Nothobranchius furzeri: one gene and its partner. The protein of the gene in region 2 interacts with the protein of the main gene of each other region in a pairwise test. Links are inferred from orthologs where the notes say so. Each region holds a gene or a part of one and is shown on either strand. Other genes may lie near its edges.

Region 1 (4,108 bases), on a different chromosome or scaffold from region 2:
GGTTTAGGCATCACGTAGCTCAGTCGCAGGAATAAATGAGCGTGCTTACTACTGGATGCGTCCAAATCCGGTTTCTGTTGTTTGTAAGCTGCCAGCAACATGCAACCCACCATATTTTCTTACACACTCTGTGCAAAAGTGTACAACAAATCCACCTTTTTGTTTTTGGGAGCGAAGCATTAAAGTTGAGGCATGTTTACGTCAGTTTGTGAAGGTTGTGTTTTTTTTAGTATGCTGATTTTAACCCACTCAGGCCTAAACAAGTATTAAAACCACCGTCTGCGGTGTTTCCACTCCTTTCTGTATGACAACCAAGCGACTGTTTACAACAACTAGACACCACGCAAATGAACAAGTGTGATAATAACTTTTTGAAAATAAAAATCCACTGGTGATCAACCTTTCTTACCTTGTTTAAAAATCGGAGTGTGCAGGGTTTTCACAGCTCTGTTCGGAGCAGCTGTTTGAAGGGGAAAGCGCAGACAAACGCAATGAGCATGCGCGGTCTGACCTGCTGAGGGCGGGGCCGTTGTGCAAGTGACATTTTAGACTGCTGAACTTTTGTTTAGTTTTATTACACACGTCGTGTCTATAACTCCATTGTGCAGGAAACACATTTTAAAACGATAGTAATAGTATGATAGTAAGGACGATTCCTAGTTAATCACTAAAATAAATAAATAAATAAAACACATTTGATTGTTTTAGTCCTCTGGTGCATTTTCTAATGCTTTAAACTTCAATATTTTCAAACACTCAGTATGTGTCATATATTATTTGTCTATAATAGCATTTAAATTGATGTGAGAAAAAAATGGGATATCTGCATCTATTTAGACCCTGATTTTTGCTTGACAGGTGAATCCAACTTAAGAAATCTCCGTAATACCACCACAAAACTATGAAGAACCAAGCAGCTAACTTTATGTATTTTGATAAATCACTAAAAATGAATTAGCAGCGTGTTTTGTTTAGCATCTGGCATGGGCTTCACGCAGCCTGATAGGTAATGCTCAGGAAACACTGCTGTTTTCAAGTAGGATTAACACAGAACTATAACTGCTAGCACCGCTCCAGAGCAGAGGACTCGCGGTCACTTTTCAAATCAGTCACTTTTTTTAACAGTAACACAATTTTAATACTTCTGTAATCAGTGTCTATACTTATAGTTGTTCATACGTTTGTCTTTTGTTTGCTTAATTTGTAAATCATTGCGCTCTACTTTTCTATCAGGTCTAGGTCTGTGTGCGCGTGCTCCGTTGCTATGGTGAAGAATTCTACAACAAGTTGATGCGTCGGCGTCATTGGCGTACGGGAACAAAACACCACACAGATAAACAACGAAGGGGTTTACAAGGTAAAAAAAAAGTAACCTAGTTCTTGAGGCTATTTATAAAAAGCCACAGAAAACCGTGACTCGTGTTTTTATCATTAACGTTAAGGCGAAAATTAGCCCCAACAGCTTGTGCTGATTAGCTCTCTTGGTGTTAAGCTATGACCGGTGGTGCCCTGCTTTTCATGACTACGTGAAAAAAATCCCATTTGTCATTTGTTCGCGTATCTGATATGTTTTCGTTTATTTTGAAGCTGTAGAAAACTGGCGGGCAGCTTAAGACAGCTGAAAACGTCAGCTCTTGTTTGTGCAACGCTTTTATTGTCAGGATGAGATTCGCTTTATAGTACTTATATGGGCCTATAAAGATTTTTACACGGGATACATAAAGTATGTTTGGTTTGAAAGCCATAATAAACCCAATTATTATTATTCTTGTAGGCTCAAGATAATTAGTGTCGCTGGTATTATTTGTCATAAAGTACATTGTGTACTAACAATTGATTCAATCAGCTGTTTTAATATTAAACATCACTTGAATGCCTGCCAGTGATACTGTACCCTTTGTGTGTCCTTTAATTCTTCAGATGTGTGAAGGACCTTCAACACTTTCTGGGCCAATCCCCCCAGATCCCTCTCTGTGTCCTCAGTTCTACAGACGCCCATCGTCAGGTTAGGAACTGTCAAATTTGTGTTTTTTGTACCAATTCTAATTTATTAAAAAAGTGTTACTACTTACAAATTATGAATTTATGTTTTCAATCTGCATTGTAAATAGTCTTCTTTTTCTTCTATGCTGGCTTGTTCACAAACTCGAGAGACACGAGCGTTCCTTTTACTGATTCAATTCAATTCAATTCAAGTTTATTTATAAAGCGTCAAATCACGACAAGAGTCGTCTCAAGGCATTTCACATAATAAACATTCCAATTCAGGTCAGTTCATTAAGCCAATCAGAAATAATGTTTCCTACATAAGGAACCCAGCAAATTGCATCGAGTCACTGACTAGTGTCCATGACTTTACAGCAATCCTCATACTAAGCAAGCATTTAGCGAAAGTGGAGAGGAAAACTCCCTTTTAACGGGAAGAAACCTCCAGAGGATCCTGGCTCAGTATAAGCAGCCATCCTCCACGACTCACTGGGGATGGAGAAGACAGAGCAGGCACGCGCGCACACACACACACACACACACACACACACACACACACACACACACACACACACACACACAGAGACAAAGACAAAGTAATGTGTCTATAGTTATATTGTGATTTCTTGGTAAATATTCTATTTGGTGAGAGATAAACTTTATTGTATTTATCCTAGTGGATCTATAATTAAACGGGTAAACTAGTAGTAGCACATCCAACGTCAAGGGAAGCAAAAAGTTATTATCAGGAGAGAGAGAATGTTTAAGTGGTTAGCAGCAGTGTGCTAGTCGATGGCCCCCTCCATGAGGCCACCACAGCTCAGCAGAACATCGTTGTAGCTTCTTCTGGGGAGAAAAACACTTAGAGAGAAAATAAAGTTAACAGCTGAAATAGCAGGAAATAGTACAGTTAAAGAGCAGATTGTAGAAGAAAGAGTAGAGTGTGGAAAGTGGTCAGTGTGTCCTCCAGCAGTCTAAGCCTATAGCAGCATAACTACAGAGATAACTCTGGATAATCTATAATCTATCTGATGTTTAATGCAGTCTTGCATCTTCAACTTTACACCACATGAACACCGTAGAACTAATGAAAAAGCATAAATCATGTACAAATTAACAAGTTAGTTGCCTTAAGTTTGCTAACATATGGAGTTTATAAATAAATAATAAACATACCACTTTGGTCTGCTAGTAGACAAGCCGGTAGACTTGAAAACACGTAACTTTCTTCTCAAATGTTCTTAATTGGCACAAATTTGTCCGTTCTCATCAATAAAATCTCCGAAACTACGAGAGACAGGAAGTGACGTCACAGCGCTCTTAAACACAACTTATCAAATAAACCAATTCAAAATTACTCAAACATCTAAAATGATTAATTCTGTGCACCTGTAAATGCTACAAAATGTATTGAAAACATGAAAAATAATATTTTAAAGAGCAAGTCACCCCCAAATCAACTTTTTTTGCTGATAAACTAAATAAACGAGTGTCTAATTGTGCTGCAGACACGTGTAGTCAATCATTTGGCACTTCAGTGCATCTTAGTTAAAATTTAAATATTCTGCCTAAAACTGTCAGTGTTGTGCCGTCGTCAGGTAAAAACTATACACTGTATTTGAATTTAAATCTGCCACTGCTGTTGGCTAAGAGGTATGCTATGATGTAAATTGGTACATTATGATGTCACAATGCTGTCGTGAGCCTGTGAGTGTGTGTATTTGTTAGTGGCTCCGCCCTCTCGGTCTGCCAGGCAACAGCATTTGCTGCATTTTTCAAACATGAAGTGGGAGTGGAGTTAGACTCTGGTAGGAGGTGACTTGCTCTTTAAATAAACATGTTAAATAAACTTTCTAGGGCATTCACAAAATCACAGTGCCATCTTGTGGTGAAACCTTGAACAAAAAAGTTGCTTCAACTACCTTTACATCTTCTTTGAAATGCTGCAACAACGTTGTTAATTTTTTGATAACTGATTCTTAATATGCATCATTTAGTACGCCATTACTGGAAATTGTACTGCACATAGTTTATTATACATTTAGAATTAATTACATGTTGGATTTTTTTCTCTCTCTCCTTCTTCAGCTCGTGGTCGCTTAGAGGGAAATCACGACAAGCC
Region 2 (3,565 bases):
CTTGTGATCCATCTTTCCCAAGACCCCGAGATACTTAAACTCCTCCATTTGAGGCAGGACCTCGTCCCTGACACGGAGAAGGCATTCTACCCTTTTCCGACTCGAGTCCATGATCTTGGATTTAGAGACACTGATTCTCATCCCAGCTGCTTCACACTCGAACCGCTCCAGAATCAAGGTTCTAGGGATCAAATAATATTATTTAAGCATTATTGAAGCATGAAATTAAAATTTCAGTCAGTCAGCCTTATTTAAACACAGATGTGGACAAAAGAGTTCGTACTGATCTGTTACAGAAAGGACTGACAAAAGTATTAATAATTAAACATTAACTGGAAATCAGCTCAACCGTTTCAGCAGAACAACTTTAGTAAACAAACTAATGAAACTTTAACGATGGTTTCTAATGTGACCAGAGGGACACATTCTACTCAGGTGTCTCCAGTCAGTTTAATGGCTGAAAGGTAGTCACCGTGCTGCTTGGTAAGGTGGGTACCACACAGAACACGGACCACAGAAAGCTGAGAACACAGCTGTCCCAGGAGGAGGTCAAGTTAAAGGCTGGAAGGCCATCTCCAAGCAGCTTGGTGTTCCTATCACTCGACAAAACTGGTCAACCCAAGCTAGTAGTGAAAGTGACCTCATACCGCTTGGAGAGTTTTCCCCGTAGCGAATATGCCAGGAATAACTTTGGCTTAATCAAGGTTGGGTCATGGAGGTACCAAATCCAGGAGATAAACTCAGACCTCCCTGCTCTCCCTAGAGACACTCTCCAGCTGCTCCTGGAGGATCTCAAGGTGTTCCCAGACCACCGAGGATATGAATCCCTCTAGAGGCCTCAGCGGTCTGTCCCCAGTGGGGTTTGTCTGGAAAACCTCAGACAGGTCTGAAAAGTTCCCTACATGCGTTAAAATAGTCTTCATGGGATGAATATGAAAACTCTTGTTTCAGACGAGCTTCAGACCTCCTGACTGAAGATTACTGTCGGACACGAGAAGTTACTAATCAAAAACAATCTGTTATTATATGAACCAGCTTTCAGTCAGCAACTCTGTTCTGATTCCAACACTGCACCGGGAATCCTCAGGTTTGTTGAAAATTGAATACATGATTAATTTTATGAACCAATCAGTTTGTAAATCCTGAAATAATGAGGAGCAAAGCTGAGTGAACATGGAGCTGTCAGCCAGAGCCCTGCATGGTCTCATCAGCAGACCAACAGAAACAATGACACATTAGTCAGAAACACACATCTATAACACACACATACACATTTACGCAGGTCAACTCGTCCATCACAATAACACACACACACACACACGCGCGCGCGTGCGCGCGCGACAGAGCTGACTGAAACACACACTATCTGAGGTCTACAAGGCTGCCTCCTGCATCAGAAACACACACAAACGGACAGCCACCAACATAAACCGACACGCGCTCGCAGTCCTGACAGATGGAACATGCTCCTCCATATTCTGCCCTGATAAAAAGGATTGTGGCCTCCAATATCAATTACCCTCTCATCCTGGAGGGGCGGGGGTGGGTGTTTTTGAGGGAGAAGAAGAAGAAGCAGTAGGAAGAGGGGTATTATCTCTAATTAGATTTTCTGCTCTATTTGGCTGCTGCTTGAAGAGGACAAGAACTCATTTCACAGCTCTTATCAAGGTGAATAATGAAGGAGAACAGGAGGAGTAGAACGGTTCTGGGTTGTGATCCTCCTTCAGACAACACTAAATATGTTCTGCATGTAAATAAATGAAAAAGAAAAAAATAAATGTTCTCACAGGAAAACACATGGAGTCGGCTTCTGAAACAACAGTAAACATTTACACGCCAGTTAAACTGGCCCTAAAGGATCTAGCTGTCGTTTATTACAGGCAAAAACATCACACACACCGCTGAACGGCAAACATAAAGTTCTTACCTGCATGTGTGTGCTCATTGACTACATATCACATGACCCACTGGAAGGTTTTTATGAAATGCAGACTGAAATCACTGGATGAATGTTTTCAGCCTGATTAAAGATGGCCGCCACAAACACAGACATGTCTCTAAAATAGCCCGTTTGACAAACGCTGGGCAGAAATCTGATGTGTTGCTAGCTGAGAGTCGTCCATGTAACAGTGCAAACAGACTAGCACAAAAACAACTAGAACTCCTCATTTCTCCTCCTGAGGTGATCTAAGTGGCTGAAGCCAACGGCCAATGCTAAGGAATGGGGGCAATTTAAAAAAAAACATTTCACGTGGGGGCGCTCACCGAGGCTGCCCAACAATAATTTTAACTGTTCTAAGGGATAATAGCTGTAATGTTTTCAGTTAGCTAATGTAAGGCTAACGCTAGCTTACATCATGGATTGTGGAGGTTCCCGTTGATCACTCAAGAAAAGAAAATAAGAGTTTTTCTTAAAGTAGCACTAAACAGTTTTCAACACTTAAAGCTGTTTCTTTAAAAGTGGCTTTCAGTGATTGTGAAGGTAGAAACTTTACCAACTTCATCTTGGACACCACTCTGCTCTCAGAGTTTCCTCTATTCTACTGAAGGTGAGAGCGTGCGCGGGGTGGGGGGGTGGCGGGGCGTCAGCCCAAGTTGGGCAAGCAGTCCACCGGGACAGTGCCAGGATGCCAGATAGGCCAGTCCACCCCTGCTAATTGTGTGTTTTACTCTATTGTGTACAGCACTCTAGGTGTACACCTCATAGGTGTGGCATTAGAATTTAAGCCGTGGCGCAGCACCACGTCTGAGCCTATGTAGGGGAGACAGTGGGAAGTGGTGGTGACTTTCTCTTTAATCCTCTTGGCTGTTGGGTTTTTAAATGATTAAGGATGGAAGGTGTTTAGGAAGTCCACTCAAACTGTAAATGTTGCTGCTGCCTGTTGGTTTTTGCTGCACAGGAACTGCACGTCTCTTGGGGATAATAGTGTTCTTCAATTTCAACATGTGACCCACCAGAACCCGTCACAAGTGGCATCTTTTTGAGTTCACCCAAAACGCCTTGAACCTGAGTTGTAATCATATTTAAATGGATAATATGAGACATTAGCAGAATATGTCCACTGTCTCAGAATTAGCTAAAAACATCTGCAGTTTCACCAGAAATGTGTTTGAAAGACTGATCAGTTTTAGCATAGGGTTGCTAGTTGATACTTGTTTATTTAACCTTGTGACACTTTCATGTTTTCCCTAAAAATCTCAAATCTATACAGAGCACAACATCTTCAGGTCACGCAGAGGTTGTGGCTAAATATAAACGTTTAATACGAGAACAGAAAAGTGTCACGACGACCTGACTAAAACCATCAACTATTAACTTTATAACCAAACTGAACAACACAGAATAAAATCATACTGGGCCGTTTGCTGCAGTTGGCGGGCGTGAAGCAAAGCCTCGTCTCTCTCCTGATTGGCCAGCAGGAGTCGTGACATCAGAGCCTGATCTCTGTTCTTTTGAGCTGCCAGCACCTCCTCCAACATCACTGAGAGGAAGAGAAGAAAAGGAGAAGGTGAAACATAAAGAAAAAGAAAGGATCGAGAGAGAAGGAGACAAGGAAAGGAGGTG

Evidence for each region.
Region 1: the proteins of mipol1 (region 2) and enkd1 interact in binary tests that used the Homo sapiens proteins (3 or more experiments, as listed by UniProt). The two-hybrid records come from large-scale screens. The link is inferred for Nothobranchius furzeri from reciprocal best matches to the Homo sapiens genes MIPOL1 and ENKD1.

What each region holds. Positions count from the first base shown.
Region 1 is NC_091757.1:55,623,930-55,628,037, reverse strand, and holds the start of enkd1 (enkurin domain-containing protein 1), read left to right. Parts: upstream 1-1,243; 5' UTR 1,244-1,357; intron 1,358-1,920; coding exon 1,921-2,005; intron 2,006-4,074; coding exon 4,075-4,108. UniProt on the Homo sapiens protein: Microtubule-binding protein which regulates microtubule organization and stability. Promotes the stability of astral microtubules and facilitates the proper orientation of the mitotic spindle.
Region 2 is NC_091758.1:16,368,518-16,372,082, reverse strand, and holds part of mipol1 (mirror-image polydactyly gene 1 protein), read right to left. Parts: intron 3,483-3,565; coding exon 3,356-3,482; intron 1-3,355.